Tamandua tetradactyla: one gene and its partner. The protein of the gene in region 1 binds, or shares a complex with, the protein of each later gene. Links are inferred from orthologs where the notes say so. Each region holds a gene or a part of one and is shown on either strand. Other genes may lie near its edges.

Evidence for each region. Proteins that work in one complex are often made in the same cells at the same time.
Region 2: the proteins of RAB11A (region 1) and MYO5B are in contact, whole or in part, in a crystal structure (PDB 4LX0), measured with the Homo sapiens proteins. The link is inferred for Tamandua tetradactyla from reciprocal best matches to the Homo sapiens genes RAB11A and MYO5B. Residues at the interface, in NP_004654.1 of Homo sapiens: Leu11, Lys13, Arg33, Glu35, Ile44, Gly45, Val46, Glu47, Phe48, Ala49, Thr50, Gln63, Trp65, Glu71, Arg72, Tyr73, Arg74, Ala75, Ile76, Thr77, Ala79, Tyr80, Arg82, Gly83; in NP_001073936.1 of Homo sapiens: Ile1627, Gln1628, Gly1629, Leu1630, Trp1706, Met1710, Arg1713, Tyr1714, Ser1717, Gln1718, Glu1721, Arg1724, Gln1745, Leu1747, Gln1748, Leu1749, Lys1750, Lys1751, Glu1755, Ala1759, Leu1763, Tyr1779, Glu1786.

What each region holds. Positions count from the first base shown.
Region 1 is NC_135340.1:82,869,822-82,879,787, forward strand, and holds the start of RAB11A (ras-related protein Rab-11A), read left to right. Parts: upstream 1-4,160; 5' UTR 4,161-4,303; coding exon 4,304-4,343; intron 4,344-9,966. UniProt on the Homo sapiens protein: The small GTPases Rab are key regulators of intracellular membrane trafficking, from the formation of transport vesicles to their fusion with membranes.
Region 2 is NC_135344.1:32,700,160-32,710,125, forward strand, and holds the start of MYO5B (unconventional myosin-Vb), read left to right. Parts: upstream 1-3,697; 5' UTR 3,698-3,799; coding exon 3,800-3,844; intron 3,845-9,966. UniProt on the Homo sapiens protein: May be involved in vesicular trafficking via its association with the CART complex. The CART complex is necessary for efficient transferrin receptor recycling but not for EGFR degradation.

The DNA.
Region 1 (9,966 bases):
TCCCTCCATTTACTTAGATCTTTTCTTTCTTTTAGTGATGTGTTGTACTTTTTCTGTGTGCAAGCCCTTTACCTTCTTGGTTAAATTTATTTCTAGATATTTTATTCTTTTAATTCCTTTGTAAATGGATTTTTTCCTTGATTTCCTCCTCAGATTGCTCATTACTAGTATATAGCAACCCTACTTATTTTTGCACGTTAACCTTGTATCCCCCCACTTTGCTGAACTTGTTTATTAACGCTAGTAGCATTGTTGTAGATTTTTCAGAACTTTCTCTATATAGGATCATGTCACCTGCAACAGTGAATGTTTTACTCTGTGAAGTAACTGTGAAGACATTATGTTGAATGGAAGAAATAAAAAAGAATGTTTTACTCTTTTTCTTGCCTAATTGCTCTAGCTATAACTTCTAGTACAGTGTTGAAAAAACAGTGGTGACAGTGGGCATCGTTGTCTTGTTCCTGATCTTAGAGGAAATGTTTTTAGTTTTTTTTACCAGTGGGTATGATGTTAGCTGTGGGTTTTTCATATATGTCCTTTATAATGGTGAGGAAGTTTCCTTCTCATCCTATCTTTTGAAGTGTTTTATCAAGGAAGGATACTGGATTTTGTCAAATGCTCTTTTTGCATTAATTGTGATGGTCCTGTGGGTTTCCTCCTTCAATTTGCTAATTGATTTTTTTGTGATGCACCAGCCTAGCTTATCTTGGCTAAAACCTACTTGATCATGATGTATAATTATCTTAATGTGTTGTTGGATTTGATTTCCAGGTATTTTCTTGAGGATTTTTGCATCCATATTCATTACCGAAACTGGAATATAATTTTCTTTCCTTGTAGGATTTTATCTGGCTTTAGTATTAGGGTGAAGTTGGCTTCATAGAATGAGTTAGAGAGTGTGCTCTCCTCTTCAATTTTTTTTTTTTTTTTGCGAGTCTGAGCATGGTTAGTATTAATTCTTCTTTGAATGATTGGTAGAATTCACCTGTAAACCGATCTGATTCTGGGCTTTTCTTTGTTGAGAGTTTTTTGATGACTGACTCAATCTCTTGTTGAGGTCTTCTATTTTTTCTAGTGTCAGTGTAGTCATTCATGTGTTTTTAGGAATTTGTCCATTTCATCTAGGTTGTCTAATTTGTTAGCATACAGTTGTTCACAGTATCCTCTTGTGATCCTTTTTATTACTGTGGGGTCAGTAGTAATGTCCCCATCTCATTTCTGATTTTATTTGCATCTTCTCTTTTTCTTGTCAGTCTAGCTAACGGTTTTTAAATTTTATTGATCTTCACAAAGAACCGAGTTTTGGTTTTGTTAATTCTATTTTTTTTTCAATTTTATTGATTTCTGCTCTAATCTTTGTTATTTCTTTCCTTCTGCTTGCTTTGGGATTAGTTTTCTGTTCTTTTTCTAGTTCCTCCAGCTAAGCAGTTAGGTCTTTGATTTTTTTTTTTTTGCTTTTTTAATTTTTTTAAATACCAAAAAACACCAAACAAATGGAAACGTTTGTAACTCCTGATCATTCTGTTCTACATATACAATTAGCAATTCACAATATCATCACATAGCTGCACATTCATCATCATGATTATCTCTTGGAACATTTGCATCTATTCAGAAAAAGAAATAAAAAGAAAACAGAAAGAAATTAATACATACTATGCCCCCACCCCTCCCCTTCATCAATCACCAGCATTTCACTATAAATTTATTTTAACATTTGCTCCCCCTATTATTCATCTTTATTCCATATGTTTTACTTGTCTGTTGATGAGATAGATAAAAGGAGCATCAGACACAAGGTTTTCACAATCACACAGTCACATTGTGAAAGCTATATCATTATACAATCATCTTCAAGAAACATGGCTACTGGAACACAGCTCTACATTTTCAGGCAGTTCCCTCCAGCCTCTCCATTACATCTTGACTAACAAGGTGATATCTACTTAATGCATAAGAATAACCTCCAGGATAACTTCTCGACTCTGTTTGGAATCTCTCAGCCATTGACACTTTGTCTCATTTCACTCCTCCCCCTTTTGGTGGAGAAGGTTTTCTCAATCCCCTGATGCTGTAGGTCTTTGATTTTATCAGTTTCTTCTTTTTAAATATAGGATCTAAATTTTGCTCTGAGCACTGTGTTTGCTGCATCCTATAAACTTTGATATGTTGTGTTCTGGTTTTCATACATTGCGAGATATTTACTGATTTCTCCTGAAATTTCTTCTTTGACCCTCTGATCATTTAGGAGAGCATTGTTTAACCTCCATTATTTGTGAATTTCCAGCTCTCCACCTGTTAGGGATTTCCAGCTTTTCTTTTTATTTTGGCTAGAGAAAGTGTTTTGTATAACTTCAATCTTTTAAAATTTGTTGAGACTTGTTTTTGAACCAACATGGGATCTATACTGGAGAATGATCCATGATCACTTGAGAAGAATGTATATCCTGCTGTTTTGGGGATGTAATGTTCTGTAAATGTCTGTTAGGTCTAGTTCATTCATCATATTATTCAAGTTCTCTGTTTCCTTATTGATCCTCTCTCTAGATGTATTGAAGTCTCCAACTATTATTGTCAGGACATCTATTTCTGCCTTCACATTTGCCGGTGTTTGCCTCATATATTTTGGGGCACCCTAGTTAGGAGCATAAATATTTATGATTGTTATTTCTTCTTGGCGGATTGCTCCCTTTATTAATAAAGTGTCCTTCTTTGTCTCTTATAACAGTATTACATTTAAAATCTATCTGAACAGTATTAGTATGGCTACTCCAGCTCTTTTTTGGTTATTCTTTGCACGGAGTATCTTTTTCCAACCTTTCACTTTAAACTTATCTGTATCCTTAGATTGAAGGTGAGTCCCTTGCAGACAGTATATAGATGAATTACATTTTTAAAATCCTTCTGCCAATCTGTGTCATTTGATTGGGGAGTTTAATCATTAATATTCAATGTTATTACTGTAGTGGCAGTACTTTAACCATTTTATGCTTTGGTTTGTGGATATTGAACACAACCATTAATTACATTTGCAGCCTTAATTCCTATTTGCCATGCAACCAAACATATTCACACTTTCCAGAGATTAGGATGGGGACACGTTTGGAGGGCCATTACTCTGTCTACTACACACTCCTGCCCAAAAGTCTAGATTGAGGGTTTGCATATAGTCAGTAGGGGGTGACAATAAATGTGAAATGCTCTTTGGAATTAAAAAACTCCGGTCAATATATGGCCGCCCTGTGTGATCTTTGGTTAATTACTTGAGTCTTAGTATCCACATTTCCACTAAAATGGAAATTGCTGTGTTTGCTCTGCTTGTTAAATGAAATAATTATGTAAAAGGACCTAGTTTAGACTGACAAATAGTAAGGGCTCAGAAGTTCTTGATGAATCTTCATAAGGAGGGTGGGCGAAATTCTCTGAAAGACATCTGGAGACAGTTTGAGAGATTTCTGGAGAGCAGTGAGTGAGAAGCACCCACCCTTGAGGAGATCAAAAGGAATCAAGTTCCACGGAAGAAGCTCTTGAATTGTTTTGAGGCTGAGATGCCCAGATTAAAAAGGGCAAAGCTAAAATGTTCCTTAGAAGACACCCACATGCAAAGTGGTTGTTTAGTAGTACGAACTGAAGGGGGGATCTGTGGGGTCTTTGGAGGAAAAGATTACATTTTGTGAAATCCCATGCCACTTAGTTCAATGCCACGCATACCGTAGTTTGTACCATTACCAAGTGAATTAGATTTAAAAGGTAACTGGGGGGAAAAAAAAAAAGCAGACGCCACAGGTTCCACCGAGATTTGAACTCGGATCGCTGGATTCAGAGTCCAGAGTGCTAACCATTACACCATGGAACCGCCAGACGCCTTGTTGCGCTTTCAGATTTCTGAAGGTTAGTAAACCCCGCCCCACCACTACGTTGAAGCTTGTCTGATGCGTTCTCAGAGCTTGGAGTCCTGCTTGGCAGCGCGAGTTGGGGCAAGAATAAACGAGAAGTTACTAAGAGCATGGTCAGTTGGGAATCTAGGACTCATCTTCCCATATCAGCCTCCTTGAGGACGCTGTGACTTCAACGAACAACCCGATGCAAATGCTTGCAGCCCTGCGGGACTCGGAGGTGGGGCGCCAACTCCCCGGAAGTACTTCCCCTGAGGGGCTGGGGCTGCCGGAAGTGGCGCACGGCAGGGAGGGGCACTTCACCGGGTCCGGCGTCTGAAGCTCGGAGCTCGGGTTACCCCTGCAGCGACGCCCCCTGGTCCTACCGATACCGCTCCTGCTCCCGCCCCTTCAGACTCGGCCGCGCAATGGGCACCCGCGACGACGAGTACGACTACCTCTTCAAAGGTGAGCCTCTGGGCTTTGGCACCCTACAGTGTGTCCCCGTTTGGGGGCCCGGGACACTCCCCGGGGATCCGCGCGCGGGCCATCCCGGCACCGAAATGGGGCCTGCCTCAGCCCTTCCCTTCTGAGCAGTGCTTCCTGCCATCTTCCAGCTCAGTCTCTTCTCTCCTCAGACTGGGGGTCGCCACCACACCCCATTTCATAGCGACCTTCTCGTAGGCCCTCGCTAGCCTCAGAGCCCCTCATTGTGTGTCCTTCTCACGGCGGACTGCATTCTCCCAATTCGTCGTCTTCATTCCTTTTCCCGGGTTTATAGCTCCTTCCAAGGCCCCGCCGCCCCCCTCTCCATCTATCTTTTCTGACTTAGCGCCCCCCTCGCCCTCTTCACATCCTCTCTAATGAGTCCCTCTGACAGGCCCTCCCTCTTCCCTTTTCGCCTTTCCTTAGGCCCAGAGACTCCTACTACGGGTCGTTCTCTCATCTGGTACCCTTTTCTCCCGAGAGAGCCTCTCCTCTCTGTTTCCTCGCAGCCCCTCCTCTGGAACGGACTCCCCTCCTAGCCGACTGCTCCAGGCTCGGGGTCCAGGTCCTGATAACATCTGAGTGAGCCAGTGGCCCCCACCCCCACTTGTTCCGCTGTTCTCGCGGTCAGTAACCTTCCCCGATCGCCCCCGAGGGTTGGCAGCTCTTTTTCTACCTTCCCTCGCAAATGTTGATAGGTCCCGCGGCTCCAGTGCGACCCCGGGGTGGGGGTTGGGGAGACAAGAAAGAATGTCCATCACCCACGCGCGAACTTGTCGCAGTGACCCGGCAGGCTGATGTGACTTCCCACCTTGCCGGTTTTTTTTTTTTTTTTTCTTGCCGTCCCTTCCCAGCGGCATCTAGCCTGGGATAACTCTTAACTCTGCTAGTGAGAAGGGGTTGCGGATGGGTGGTGGCTGTTATCCTTGCCAGACCTGAAGGCCCAGTTCCTGAGCAGGAAAGGTTGTGCGCTGCACAAACACTGGCTTGCTTTATCGCAGTGGTCTGGTTGCTTCCTGCTGCAACACTGGGAGGATCCAGTCTTCTGGTGTTTTAGAACAGGAAGGGAAGAGTCGGAGTTGGCCCCATACCTTTCCCAAAAGGTGGTGGTGGGGGGGAATGGGTGTGTGCTCTTTTGCACATATTAACTATTATAAAACAGGGACATATGTCAGTGCCTTTGGACAAAATATATTGGAGAGTGGGGGTTCAATAGAATTGTTTATTGGTTAGTCCAGAAAGAATCCCAACAGTTTTTTTTTTTTCCTTAATCAACAGAGATAAAGGGTAGAGTTTGCAGTTAGAAGAGGGTATAGTAATTGCCTCCCCCTGTGTTTTTCTTTTGGTTGTTGTTCAATGAATCTCTCTCTGCTGCTGCTCTTTTTCTGCTCCTGAACTAGGAGGGCAGCCATCAGTAATGTGCTGAACAAAGATCATTACCAGGGAGGAAGAAGCCAGAGCTATTAAAGCTTTACAGTGGAGGGTGGAGTTAAAAAAGAGTGTTAGGCTTTATGACTGTTTGTGACTTTGCCATTGGGCGCTAAGAATGATTGACTAAACAAAGCAGGAAAGGTTTCTTTACCAGTACTTTGCAAATCTTACTATTACTAGCTGCTGATATACCCTTGTCATCACTTGCTCCTCTGAGCTGGTGTATTTATATAGGGCGCACACCTTCAAAATCTACCCCCATTCCCATACTGGCAAGGCATTTACAGAGAAGAGGATACTTAATGCCTTTTAGAAATATAAAAAGAAAACCTGTATTAGTTTATATACTGTTTGTTGAAGGCATCTGAGATTATGTGAAATTACTTAAGACAGTCCCTGGAAACTTTTAGGTTTCGTCACTAAAAGGAGGTTTGCTTTTCAAATAAAGTATAATGGCAGTGGGCAGCTTAATTAATTAAATTAATTAAATTTATAATTAATGAGAGAAACTGACCGGGTACTTCTCCTGTTTGGTTTGGAGTTTGAACATTTGTTATTAAAGTCTTTTTATATTTTCATTAAGAATATTATCCTGAATTGTCTTAAGGGCTTTAAACTTTTGATATAAATTTAAACATATATATATATAACTTTTGATATACCTTTGGAATTAGACCACCTATCTTGAGAGCATAGGGGTTTAGAATCAGGCAGACTTGGATTTAAATGCTGACTCAGGTCTTTTATTTGCTCTGTGACCTTGGGAAAGTTAACGTTTTTTTGAGCCTCAATTCCCTCATCTATAAAAAGGAAACAATACTTACGTCTTGGGTCTACTGTAAGGATTAAATGAGGCTCTTGTTAAAATTTTAGCTTCTATGAAGACTCAATAAGTGATAATCATGTGAAAGAAGTTACTGTAGTTCTTGTCAGTTTTTTAACGTTAAATTGTTATAGATACAAGAGCATTTAAATATTAATAAAGAAACTTAAAATTAGGAACTTCTTAAGTATTTTACTTTTCCACGGGTTCAGGTTTCATTTTGTTATATATTTTTAGGGAGTTAAAAAAATTCTACTGAGATGGATTTCCACTTTTTAAAGGCTCTTATGGGATATGAATCATCTTATTTACTTCATTGCTGATTATTTAGCCGTATTCTTATTTACGCAGTTACCCTATTTTAAAGTAAAACAAGAATAATTTCATTTTAGAATGTTTTCATTCTACAGAGATTCATTCATTCAGAAGAGCTGCGGCTATCTCTACTTGGAAGAAAACTTATTTAGTAAACTTGAAATAGTGAGGGAATTGGAAGATAGTTTGTAACTCTAACCAGTTGAAAATCAGGAGATTTTAATTAAGATAGGATGGAGTGGTCCAAATGGGAATGTTACGTGGGGAGAGCAGAACAATTTTTCTAAATTATGTATCTGTTCTTGAACATTGATTTTTAATTAAGCTCAACAGTGAGGTGTTTTGTGAGGGGGAAATTAGTTTTATTTTTAAAAACTTGTCTTTTTCTTTTACAAATTTTAATTCTACAGGTGTTTACATGCAAATGTGGTTAAGGCCTGGTGGGGGCACATAAGTGAAGTAAGCATCAATCATAGTTCCTGTTTATAAATGTCACAGTGGATATACACCAATCCAACCGAAGTCACATATCTGAAAATATGTGCATATATAGTCTGTTGTTTCCAGCGTTTTCAGTTGTAATTAACCATTTGCTGATTGTAGAAAGGATCATTGGAACTTTGCTGTCTTGCATCTTGGTAGTTTTTCTTTCACAACTTTTGGTTGGGCAACTTAGAGTCTGCTGAATCTGGAAAAACTTGTCTAAACTTCAGCCTTATTGAATGCATTTTATTTTAAAAGTCTTTTGGTAAGGTTGGACTGTGAAGACGGTTGAAAGTGTAGAAACATCTCCAAGTTCATTTATGAAAACTATTTTAAAAATTGTTAGCCATTCCTTCAGGTGGTAGGTAACTTTTAGAACTGATATACTGCAACTGATGTACTGAATGAAATTTGAATCCAGTAGATTAATAAGGCAGTATAAAACTAAATGTGGTTGAGAAGGGGAAATCGTTGTTAAATAATGGATAATTATTATATTTTGTGCTTTTATGGCTTTTAGCCACCTGATGTTTGATATATATTATGGACAAAAGTTAGTATTAGGTATTAGGGATGATATTTAAAATTTGTCAGATAAGTTAACCAGGTAGTGATATATCCTATTGGATTATTTTAGAGATGCTATGAATGTTTAACATATAGATGCTATTTTTAAATTTGTTTATATCATTTAGTATATTAATATTTTATAAATGCTTATAGTTATAAAATGTCTAAAGTGGAAGTACTTTTAACCTAAGATATTAATTATGGAAAACATAGGAAAGTCACTGCAAATTCCCTTTTGAACTACAGGATTTGATCTTCTATTTCTTACATTTTTAAGAAGCAATTAAATATTGCCATCTCAATGACAGAATCTATTCTGACTAGGCATTATTTAAATTTGAGTCCATGAAAGGAGGGTTCATGGAGGTTTTTATTTAAATTATAGCCAGTAAATTATTTTATGTTGTTTAAGTAATATAATTCATTCTAGTTTTTTAAAAATTACTTTTATTTCAGTAAGCCTAAATGTAACCTTCCTTTTTGATTTCTCATTTGGTAACTGAATAGAAACAGCTTTCTATTTTGTATCATTTCTCAGCATCTTGTTGGCAGCACTCTTCTTATAGAACCAGTATCTTCTGTTATCATTTAAGATATAATCCTTTAACAAAATGCTACTCTTAATTCTGGTAATCTTGTCTGTATAGTTGAGATAAGTATACTGTATAAAGCATTCACTGCTGTTTTAATTTCATGGGCTATAGTAGCCTAAATTATGAGTCTTGAATTATGTTCAAATAAGGGTACTGTTTGTATATTAGAATCAATTGGTTACATGGGGGTGGATTCCATCATAATTATCTTTATGATGGCAAAAAGATTTGAGGATAAGAAGATAATGAGCATAATCATTAGTTAAAGTGGAGGTCAAAAGGAAAGAACTTGAAACTGCTAGAGTTTTCATGGAACAGTTAAGGATGTTCTTTGAGATTCCCCCCCCCCCCCCCCCCGCCCAAAGATGTTATTTTGAACATCTTGCTCATGCACTTTGGCTTTAAACTAAGTGAAATTCCTGAATTACGGATTTATATCAGAGTTCCTATGAATTAGAAATATTGTAACTTTTTGGCTTTTCTCTTCTTCCCTCTTCTCACCTTAAGTTGATTTTTTTACTCATTCTTAATGTGAGCGTGGAGCCAGAAGTGATTCAAAATTCATCTAAGTAGAACTTCAAGCTTTTTGTACTAAGAAGCAGCAGGAAGTATATCCTACTAATGGGAAACTCTTACTGAAACTGGGATTTGACTCATGTCAAATGATGACCTTGGAAACTAATATATCAGCCAACAATCCTATAAAATTGAAAGTAAATTGTTTTTGTATGTTACTTTGATGACTGACATTTTCTCTGATATTCAAGTAAAAGCATTTGATAAATGTTTGTTTGACACAACACCTTTGACACCCTCTAATTGAGTATGTAGTTAGAAATAACTACCCTGTATTGAATGGAGTCACTTCTGCCTGGATGATTTCTTGCTGAATCAGCTGCAGAGTAAGCCAGAAAGATATGTGTTTGATAATGTTCTGCCTCCAAGACTGTCCAGAGGCCAGTTTATATCCGATCCTGTGGTGGACTACAAAATGGACTCTTTTTGCCCACTGACCAGAAAGCAGTGAGCTCTCACAGTTTCTACCTTCCTCTCTGACCTCATCTCCAAATCCCAGTCACTTTAGTAAGGCATTCTTTTATTCCTTAGGTTTTTCTTGCATGTTTGATTTTCAAGTCCTGGAGTCTAAGTCAGTTAGCTAGTTTAGATAGTAAGAGAAAGCATTAGTAATCAACAGCCAGAATAAGTATAATGACTTTCTTGAAATGCTGATATAAATTTTACAGACAGTAGAAAATGTTATATAGCTCAGATTCTATAAACCTGTAAACTCATTTTGTTTTAAAATTCAGATAGAAAATGCTTTAAAGTGGTTTGTCTTAATTGCCTATATCCCAATTGTTTTTCAAAGTGTAATAATGCAGTGGATGAA
Region 2 (9,966 bases), on another chromosome or scaffold:
GTCTGGCAGCAGTTGCTGAGGGCCAGTCTACTCTTATAGTTGTACCTGAATTGTTGGTATACGTCACTGTTACCTGTTCATCATATTTCTTTGGGAGAGTATACAGGTTTAAAGTTGTGACAGTTTGCTGGGTGCAGAGGGAGCAGATATGGCCTTGGCATCCATGGGAGTTTTTTTCTTTATTTGTGGGAGTTGTCTCCATCCTCTGAACTCTTCTACACTGGAGGTTTCTTCTCAGAAGCTGCTTCTTCAGTTGACTTAGGTTGTGCCTGAGCTACATGCCTCTGCTCCAAGAGTAGATGGCCTTTTGTGGGAGCAGTTGGTTGGGTCACCATGATAATGTGGAAGAGCTTACAGACATTCATTGTCTACCTTAAAATACCTTTGTCTGTATAAGTTCATGTCTGTTTCCAAGCCTTTGGGCTCTTCCTTTGTCTAAATCCCGCCATTCTCATTCAGGACCTAAAACTTTTGGCCTGTTGTATGTCGAAATAAATTCATCAGGCTTATTGCCTCGGAAATAAGTTCTATATTCTACTATGAACTGATGAATGACTTTTAATAAGCATACCAGAACTTTCATGTCTAAATAAGTGTTACTGTTCAATTAAATCATTTTAGGATGATTCTAACAATACAGTCGTTGCTCAAGAAGTTTTGAAACATCTCTTACTGTTTTGAAAACCATTTTATAAGTCACACTTGAACCAGAGAAGTTCCATTTGTACAATTAAATAACTCTGTTGAAGATTTCTATGGGCCAAGTAGTGTACCAGGGCTGGGAATCAAAAGAATGATTAATTCTCAGTGTCTGCTCTCATGGAGCCTACATTTTGCTTGAGATAAATGTGTAAGTGGCACAGGGATGAGCCAGGTTACGCTGGCATGTCATGAGAAACAAGAAAGTCTGCAGGAGAGGGAGGGGAAGTAACATATATGGGGAATGAGTATGGAAGGAAGGTTAGGGAAGGCTTAAACCATAACAAGTGAGTAGGATTTCAAGAGGATTCAGGCGGGCCACGGTGACTCAGCAGGTAAGAGTGCTTGCCTGCCATGCCCAAGGACCTGGGTTCAATTCCTGGTACCTGCCCATGTAAAAAAAAAAAAAAAAAAAAGAGGGATTGATGGGAGAGACTAATAATACCCTTCCAGGGAGAGGCAGCAGTATAAGCAACAATATTTTGAAAATCTAGGGGCTTGTTCAGGAAATAACATTTCACTGGCTTAATGTTCCCTGCAGTGACAGTTCTCCTGGACAAGCCCAGCAGAAACACTGGCACTGTGGGCCTTTGCCAGGTGAGTCTAGAGGGTTGATGCTGGCTTAGCTGGAGTCTACCAGAGGAGCTGGGAGCAACTATAACCCAGAGATAGGAATATATTGTGGCTCCAGCAATACTGGTCACAGGGGTCTAGCAGGAAGTTAAAGACTAGGACGAGAGTTGGCAGCAGGATTGCAAGGCAGGTGCTGGGGAATTTTTTTGTTTAAAAGCTGAACGCTGTGAACCAGGTTAGAGTCACAGGACTTGTGCTTACTTAGGCTGACACTGGTACAAGCAGGCACATCATAAACTTCAGAATGAAAGAGAGAGAGAGGAAGTAGCTGGTAGCAGGTCAGACCCCAGAGGGCCTTGAATAACAGACTACAAAGTTTGGACTTACTGATTTATAGGTGCTTTGTGAATAATAGATATTAAACTTGTCTTCTGTAGGTTTGTGAATGTTTCTCCTCAGTCATTTATTTATGGAAAACTTTTCTGAAAAATGAATGTTGTCAAATCCATCAGTCTTTTTCCTTTATGAAGTGTTGAGACATTCAAATTCTTGCAAATGAAGTATTTTTGGAACCCAACAGTCTTGACACTTATTTAGTGATTCAGTAAATCAGCCAGTATTAAAGTATGTAGCTAATGTGTTCTGTTCTTCCCTATTACACTCTAATTCTTCCCTTCCCCACCCCGTAATTCCATTTTGAACTCCAGTATGTCACTGCATTCATTCATGGTTGTGGCTTTTATAGGAAACTGAGTATCATTCGGTTGGAAAGCCAAGCAGCTGACCAGCCTCTTCATAACCCTTTTAAGCTCTTTGAACAGACTAGGTGCTTTTTCTCTATAAAATGACTCTTAGCCCAAGTTACGGTCTTCAAACACGTTCTGCTTCAACTGAGGTGTGTTGAGCACCTGAGGTGTGTTAGTAGACGCTAATCCCTCTTCCCCACTAAGCGGTGTGATCTTGAATTTGCCACTTAACCTTTTTGGTCTCATCTCATTTCAAATACAAGAGCCAGTCGTCTCTTTTTAATGCTTCTCTCATCACGGTTCCTTGGTTCCATGATTCTTCTGAATTTCAGCTTAGGGCTATGTTTGCTACTTTGGTTTTCTTGCCTATCATTTTCCTCTTCTAATCTTCTATCTTTGAGCCTCTTATTTGAAATCCCTTCAAGGCAGGCAGTTATTCCTGTGGATGCTTCTCTTTGTTTCTGCAGGCTTTTAGATATGTCTGCCTCATTTCCTGGACTCTTGTCTTTTGCAGCTGAAATTAGAAACCCTTAGAAGCATAACGGATGCTAGAATCTCATGAAGTAACAGCCCTGAAATATCCCAAGTCTACTGGCAGAGAGTCTGGCTATAATTCCAGTGACAGCTCTTGATTGCTCCCTGTGTAGGTAATCACATTGGTCCCCTATTTCTCATAGACTTGAGGATGGCCTCAGTGCATTCTCATCTCTTTGGCCAGGCCCTTTTGTTTCCTAGCCCCATCCCCCCCCCCCCGCTTTTTTTTTTTCCTTAACCTTTTAGTGTGTTATTTTTTGAAGTTTTGGAAAACTTCTAGTATAAGCCTATATGCAGATCGGAGTTTAAATCTGCAGAAGCTGCAAGCAAATACTGAACAGAAGTCTAGAGGTGCTGAGCTACCTATAAAAGGGTGTGGTGTTAAATCAGGTAGCTTTAGGACTTGTGGCTCATTTGATAAACAAATGGCTGCCCAAAGCCTCCTGCAGGATCAGAGAAGAGAAGCAGCCTGGAACCATGGAGAATAGGCAGGATAGGAGCCAGATTTGGGTTTGTTTGAGGGCTCTCAGTAGCTTTTAATTTTAGGTACATCCCTTAATTTCTGTCCATACCTACTTCATCTATCTGTAAATGGCCACAAAGGGCTGTCCTCAAATAGCATCCTAAGATGGGTAAAATTTGTTAATGCCCTAAGAGACTTCTCAGATAAAGTTGTAAATACCTTGAGAGGAGAGAGCTTATATCACTCTGGGTTGAGGAGGGGAATATATAACATTTGTATTACTAAATACTCATTGATAAATCAAAGTTGTTAACTGGATCACTAGATATTTAGTGCTTCCTGTGCAAACCTTCAGTGCATTGGTGGTTGAGGCCTTTGTTACAGCTTCTTTTGAACAGGTGGCAGGTGGCTGCAGTGGGTCCAGATGCAAGGGTGGGGCTGTCGCCCTTCCCTGTCTTTAGTTGGGGTCCCCAATAACTGCAGGGGTAATTCCCTTTTGCTGGTGGCACAGGAATACACAGGCGCACACCTCCTATCTGATTTGAAAGTCACTTCCTCATAGAAACATTTATACTAATCCTAAGTAGGTAGGCTGTTTGGGTTGCCCTGGGAACCTACCACTTCTAGGATGTTTTTCTATAGAAAAAGTGAATTCTGTGTTCCAGACTTAGAACTTAGAACACATTTTTTTAAAAATATTGGTAAAGGGAACCCTTATTTTAATTTGAGGAGGATGTGGGGCCATATTAGAGGGGACTTGGCGCTACAATGAGGCTTCTTTGGGATGGATCCAGGAGGCAGTTATGTGCTGCTCCGTACTACCCAGCAGGTCAGTTGTGGAAGGCTGCAGTATGAAAGGTACTAGGGTGCCACTGGGCTTTGATTTTTGAAGTAGCAATTTTGAATCCTTAGTTTTAAAAAAAACAAAACCTCAAGAACTATAACAAAAGGAGTCAGAAAGCAGCCTCAGAAAACTCACGTCTGGTGGAATGGTGGTGATTTCACAATTGGGTGTGAATGCCGAGGGTAACAGCATGTGCTTGTTGGTGTTTGAATCTCAGATGGATGTGGGGAAAACTTGATAAGGGATATTAGTTAATACCCTCTAGCTGTCTTTCCTGGCATCCCTGTGGGTGGGTGACCTTCCCACTATCATGGTCAGACCCCAGAGTCTGTCCTCAGCTTGTGCCCCTGCTAGTTTCCCTCCGAGGGCAGACTTGGATTAGTTTTATGCATCTCCCTCCATGAAGAATGGTTCCTATGACTGGGGCCTAAGATACACATAAAATTTTTTTTAAAGGATATTAAAAAAGAAACTCATGACTTCCAGAAGATTACTTTGCCAGAGGAACTGGCCACGAATAATGGACGTATTAGGGAGACTTTCCCCTCAAATGTTACTACCAGGACAGGGAGCAATGGAAATCAGTTAAGAAGAATCTGTTGGACACTGATGTATGCCTCCTACTGCGTGGAGGATTTTGGAAGAATGAATGAGGAATATACAAGCCCTGTTCAAAAAGAAGTTTATAATATAAATGGGTAGATAAGATAGAATAAGCAAAACAGGGTGAACAAGACAATATGAAAAGTATTTCTGTACTACAAATCATTTTAGAAGGGGAAATATAAATTATACATTTATGAATGCAGAAGTTTTAATGGCAGTGTGCTCTCAAATCTATAATTCAGACAGCTAAAGAAAATTATTTATATCTGAAGTACAGTTCAAGCTAGTCCTTGAAAGACGGTGAGATTGAGTTGTGCAGAAAGGATATGTCAAAATGTAGATTTTTAAAAAATTTATTGCTCTAGCAGTTTTATTCTTAATGAGCTAACCTGGGATTAAACAGAACACAATTCTTGTCCTAACGATTTTTGAAGTTATCTGAAAAATATTTTGTCTCTGTGATTTCACCAGGGTTGCCACTTGTACATGAGCTGTGTCTGTAGTGGTGATAAATGGATTTATTTTTCTGAGGTGTATGGTAACTATTCCCACAGATACCTGCCAGGCAAAGCGTCCTGGGGCTCACTCCTGAACTCTCACCTTTATCTTGTTCGGAAACTTTCAGTAGCTCCCTATCATAAAGTCCTCTCTCCTTACCCTGGTGTTGGGGTCTTACGTGATCTGTCTGTATTCCTGACTTTCTATGTTTTTATTCCATCTTCTTTATAGCAGGCTCTCCTCACCGCAGTTCCTGCTGCTGTATATTACGCAGGGCTCCTTTTCCTAGTGTCTGCATGTTCACACTTTGCGTATTCTTCAAAGCTCTACTCAGATATCACTGCTTCCATGAAGCCTTCTTTAATCTGTCTAGCTAAGGGAGTCCTGTTGCTGCCGAGTATCTCTGGCACCAGCCTCCACTGCTTTTGTGGCCCTTGCCTGGTAGCTTTCTTCTTATGTTGTTAGTTTATGTACAAGTTTTTCTTGTCCCCAATGGAGAGAAGGCAAAATTCCCAAGCCTTTCTGGTCTTGGTTTGCCTGCACCTAGTATTACTGTACTTTCCGCACAGGAGGCTTTACCTCTGGAGAAAGGTGTCTGATAAGTCACAGCTGGCAGCCTCCAAGTATTACCTTGTGCTTCATTACTTGGTCCTTCAGCCCTGCCTTATAAACACCTGGGCCTCTCTTGTTACCTCTTACATGATCGCTTGGTGGATTTTGCATGTTTGCATAGATGACTGACACATGCAAACAAGTACGGTATTCTTTAAACATTCTGCTTTATAACAAAATTTCTGATTTGTTTTTTGGCCAGGGTAGAGTCTTCTAGAGCGGGTAGGGCAGCAAACAGCAATTATTAAAAACACACTGCAAACATCAAATTCCTACCTGGTTGTAGTTTAAGCATGTTCTCATATTCTTGCTGGGAGTAAGTTGAAATACTGGGATGGCACAGAAGTGCCAGCTGTGCCTTTGTTGTGGTTTCTTTTCATGATTCCCTACTACTACCCGAGTCTGATTTGGGGAAACCAGTAGAGTGACCTCCTAATTTGGTTATCTGTGGCTGCATGCAAACCACCCTAACATTTAGTGACATAAAACAACAATTTGTTTTCATTTTTCATAGTTTTGTGGGTTAACTGGTCATAGGTGTTCTATTAGTTAGCTCCACTACTCTTCTGGCTTCACCCTCCACCTTAAGCAAAGAGTTCAAGATTAATTTCTTAAGCCTTACCTCCTTCTGTGAGTCTAGACTCAAACATCCAGCTGACTGTTGGCAGAGTCAGTGGTATGTCCCCAAACTTGGCATTTCCATAAGGGAATTCTTTTGGTATGAATGCAAGCATTATCTAATTTCTCTGACACCAGTGCTGGAGCAGTACATGGTGCAATAGTAAATTCTGAGTAATAGTTAATGAATTAATGAGTGAATGAACTCTTGTCAGGGTGTACCAATAGGGGGTGGATAAATTCCAGCACAAACACACACACACACACACACAAATGCACACATATACAAAAGAATACTAAAATGAGTGAACCAACTCTACATGTATCAACAAGATAAATGTCAGTGGTGCATGAAATATAATCAAGTTACAGAATATGCATGGTATGCTACCATTATCTAAAGTATACAACCAAATAATATTAGATGTATGGATGTATTTTTATGTGGTCAAAGTAAACATATGCATATGTGAGGGAATCGCTCCACTATCAAGTTAATGGATATCCATTGTCAAGTTAATGGCTGTCTTTTGGGATAGAGGAAGGGGTGACCTATGTAATGATGAAATAGCCTTCTCTGAAGAGAAGACTGGCCTTTTCCTTCAGCTACTGCAGGGTGATCTCTATGCCTGGTAGGTGTCTTTGTCTGGAAGCTTTTGCCACAGGGCAGCCTAACAATGTGATTTGTCATAGGACCTTTGGACCACACGATATCAATTCTGCCTCCTGCAGGGACTTGAGACTAAAGGTGTCAGCCTGACCTCTTAGAGTTGCTGGAGCCTAAAGATTAATCGATTGGGCAGTATTTGGTCCAAAGCTCTGGGCACCAAAGGCTCTGGTGAGCTTCCCTGGATGGCAATACTCTGTGAATATTGTCCTACGTAATGGCAGGTAGGAGTTAATGCTGTCCTTGACTTCATGGGAAGAGGACAACCCAGAGCTTTGCTAGTGAATTATTGGTGTTATTTACTTTTCAATCCAGATTTTCCATTTTGTTCTTCTTTGTAATTTCTATTTCTTCATTTATATTCTGTATTTTATGTGATGTTGTCAAACCATCTTTTGCTTTGCTTTCTTTACTTCTGTGAGCATTTTTACATCTGAAAGATTTTTTCTTTTCATTCTGACATCTGGTCATACTCACGGACAATTATACGTGCCTATATAGGTCATACTTTCCTGTTTGTTTGGTTTTTAACATGCCTTATAATTTTTTGCTTGAAGCTTGACATTTTGGATAATATACTGTAGCAACTATGGTTACTGATGCCCCTCTCCCTTCGGAGTTTATTGTAATTTGTTTAATTTCATGACTGGTTGTATTATTTTAGTGAGTCTATCATACCTCCCTCCAGAAGGGTTAAGCCCCTGCCACTCTGAGAAGGCTGCAAGTAATTTCTTCCTCTCTTTCCTTTATGACACCCAACTGTTAAACTGCTCATTGGAGACCACATTGCTCTATTGTTTTCAATGGTGTCTTGTGGCATAAATTCCTCTATTAATGCAATCAAAGTGTTTTTCTTTGAAGGGAGTAGTTTTTGAGGTCTGCGTTTGGTATCTGTTCTGACCCTAGGAAGACTTCTCCAAGTTTACCCTGATTCTCTCCTCCCTATGGCCAGCCTGTAGTCTATATCTTCATTAGATCCATACTGCTCCTCCAAATTGCTTTTCATCACTGCTCTCAACTGTTCTTGAGAGAGTCCTTAGGTTTAAACTATTCCATACTCTGTTGCAATGATGTCAGTTCATATGGAAGAGACTTGGAGCCATTTGTTGAGCCAGAGCTCTGGAGTTGGGTGGAAGTGTGGACCCTGCTAAGCCTTTTCTGAGTGGCACTCCTGCTCTAGTTGCTGAGTATTTAGTGGTGGGGGCAGCAGCCTGAGGTCCTCTGGCTTGCGTCTCTTAGTGTGGAACCCTTGCTTCATGAGCCAGGGGAATGGTTATCAGGGCCTGAGTATTGTCAACAATCCATGCTCAAGGCAGACCCTCCATTCCCCCGCTGTGGCTGAGTGTTTAAGGGAGCTCCCACCTTTTGATTGCACTTGCCTGGGACTTAGTCTCAGCAACAGATAGCTGGGGACAAAATGAGAAACACTGAAGTTCATCTCTTCCTGGGACCTGAGAGAGGAGAACCCTGTGTTCTTGGCTGCAGTATTCTGGAGTGGAGCTCTGCCTCACTGAGCCAGGAGGGGCATGGAAGGGGAGCAGTCTTGTTCATATACCATAGATTTTCTTACAGATTTTCATAGATTTTTTTTTTTTTTTTTTTTTTTTTTTTTTTTTTTTTTTTAGAAGGAAGGAAGGATAGAAGGAAGGAAGGAAGGAAGAAAGGGAAACATTTTTAAACATTTTCTTGTTTTATTGTATTCTGTTTCTCCGTTTTTGTTACATGGGCTGGGGCCGGGAATCGAACCGAGGTCCTCCGGCATAGCAGGCAAGCACTTTGCCCGCTGAGCCACCGCGGCCCGCCCAGATTTTCTTGAATAGATGTTTCTTCCTTTGCTATTTGTTCTTAGAACCATTTCTTGAGCCTTTAAATGATTGTGTTTCTGTAACTTTCACTAGTTTTCCTGGGGAGTAAGTAACTGAAACTGCTCATACTGTCATGTTGGAAGTCTTGGCTTCTATTTTATTGTGAGTGCATTCCTTTCCTGTCGGCATACTCTTGTGAAATGGTCTTTGTGCACTTTTTATGACTGATTATATCACCATATAACTTAGTTTCAATCAGTTTAATTATCCCAATTTCGTATTTTGTATGATTTCAAGGAAGCAATGAATTGTTGATATCCTTTGGAAAAATAACTGTATCAGATATTCTTTGTTTAGCTTTTGGGGGTGAGAATGGGACTGATTATTTCCTAGTCATCATTCCAGGTATTAGAGATTTAGATTAGATTTTTATGAAGTTCTGGAGAATATGATATGTAAATGCTTTCCCTGTTATGATTTTTTATTTTTCTATCAAAAATAGTGGAATGACCACTGACCATTCATAATGAATAAGCAGGTAAGTCTAGGAGAACTTGTGCATGTTATTTATTATGGGCAGAGGTACTTGGGCATTTCATGGTTCTGAACTAGATGATAGATAAAATGGACCAGAAGCTCTGGCTTGGAGTTAGAATTGGGCTGCAGTTCTGACTCTGAAGATTCGTGATTGGGTGATGTGGGAAAAGTCATTTAAACTGGGTGAGCTTCCCCTCTTCCTATCCTTTTTTTTTTTTTGTCTTTTAATTATTAGAGATGGAATCACACCTTATTTCTCAGAGGTGTATCAAACTAGATATATTTTAAAGTCATCTAATCTATAAACCAGTTTTGCTGACATTATCATCATGGCTGGCAACAAGATTCTATGGCAGTATGGATTTGGTTCACAAGTTCCCAAAGGTAGGGACATAAAGAACTTGAGAAGTCTGCAGCGAGGCAAGCAATTGCTGTAGGTGTTGTTTCCTGCCACTGAGGGTATTTGATACAAAATGGATAACCATTTTTCCTGCCAGAGACTGGGAAGAAAGAATTTGAAAACTGAGTAGGAAGTTGATTTCCAAAGACCTCTCCCACTCTAATGATGTGATTTAGGTTCTCTATGACCACAATTTTATATCTTCCAGTCCTCTATGAGGAATCGAAAACTTAAAAGATATAGAACAATAAAACTGGTTAAAGCTGAGTTTTAAAAAGCAGAATATAATCTCCGAGAAAGCTAAGAGAGGACTTAAATCCTGTACTCTGTTAATTGACACTTGATTAATTCTGAATAAAGGGAT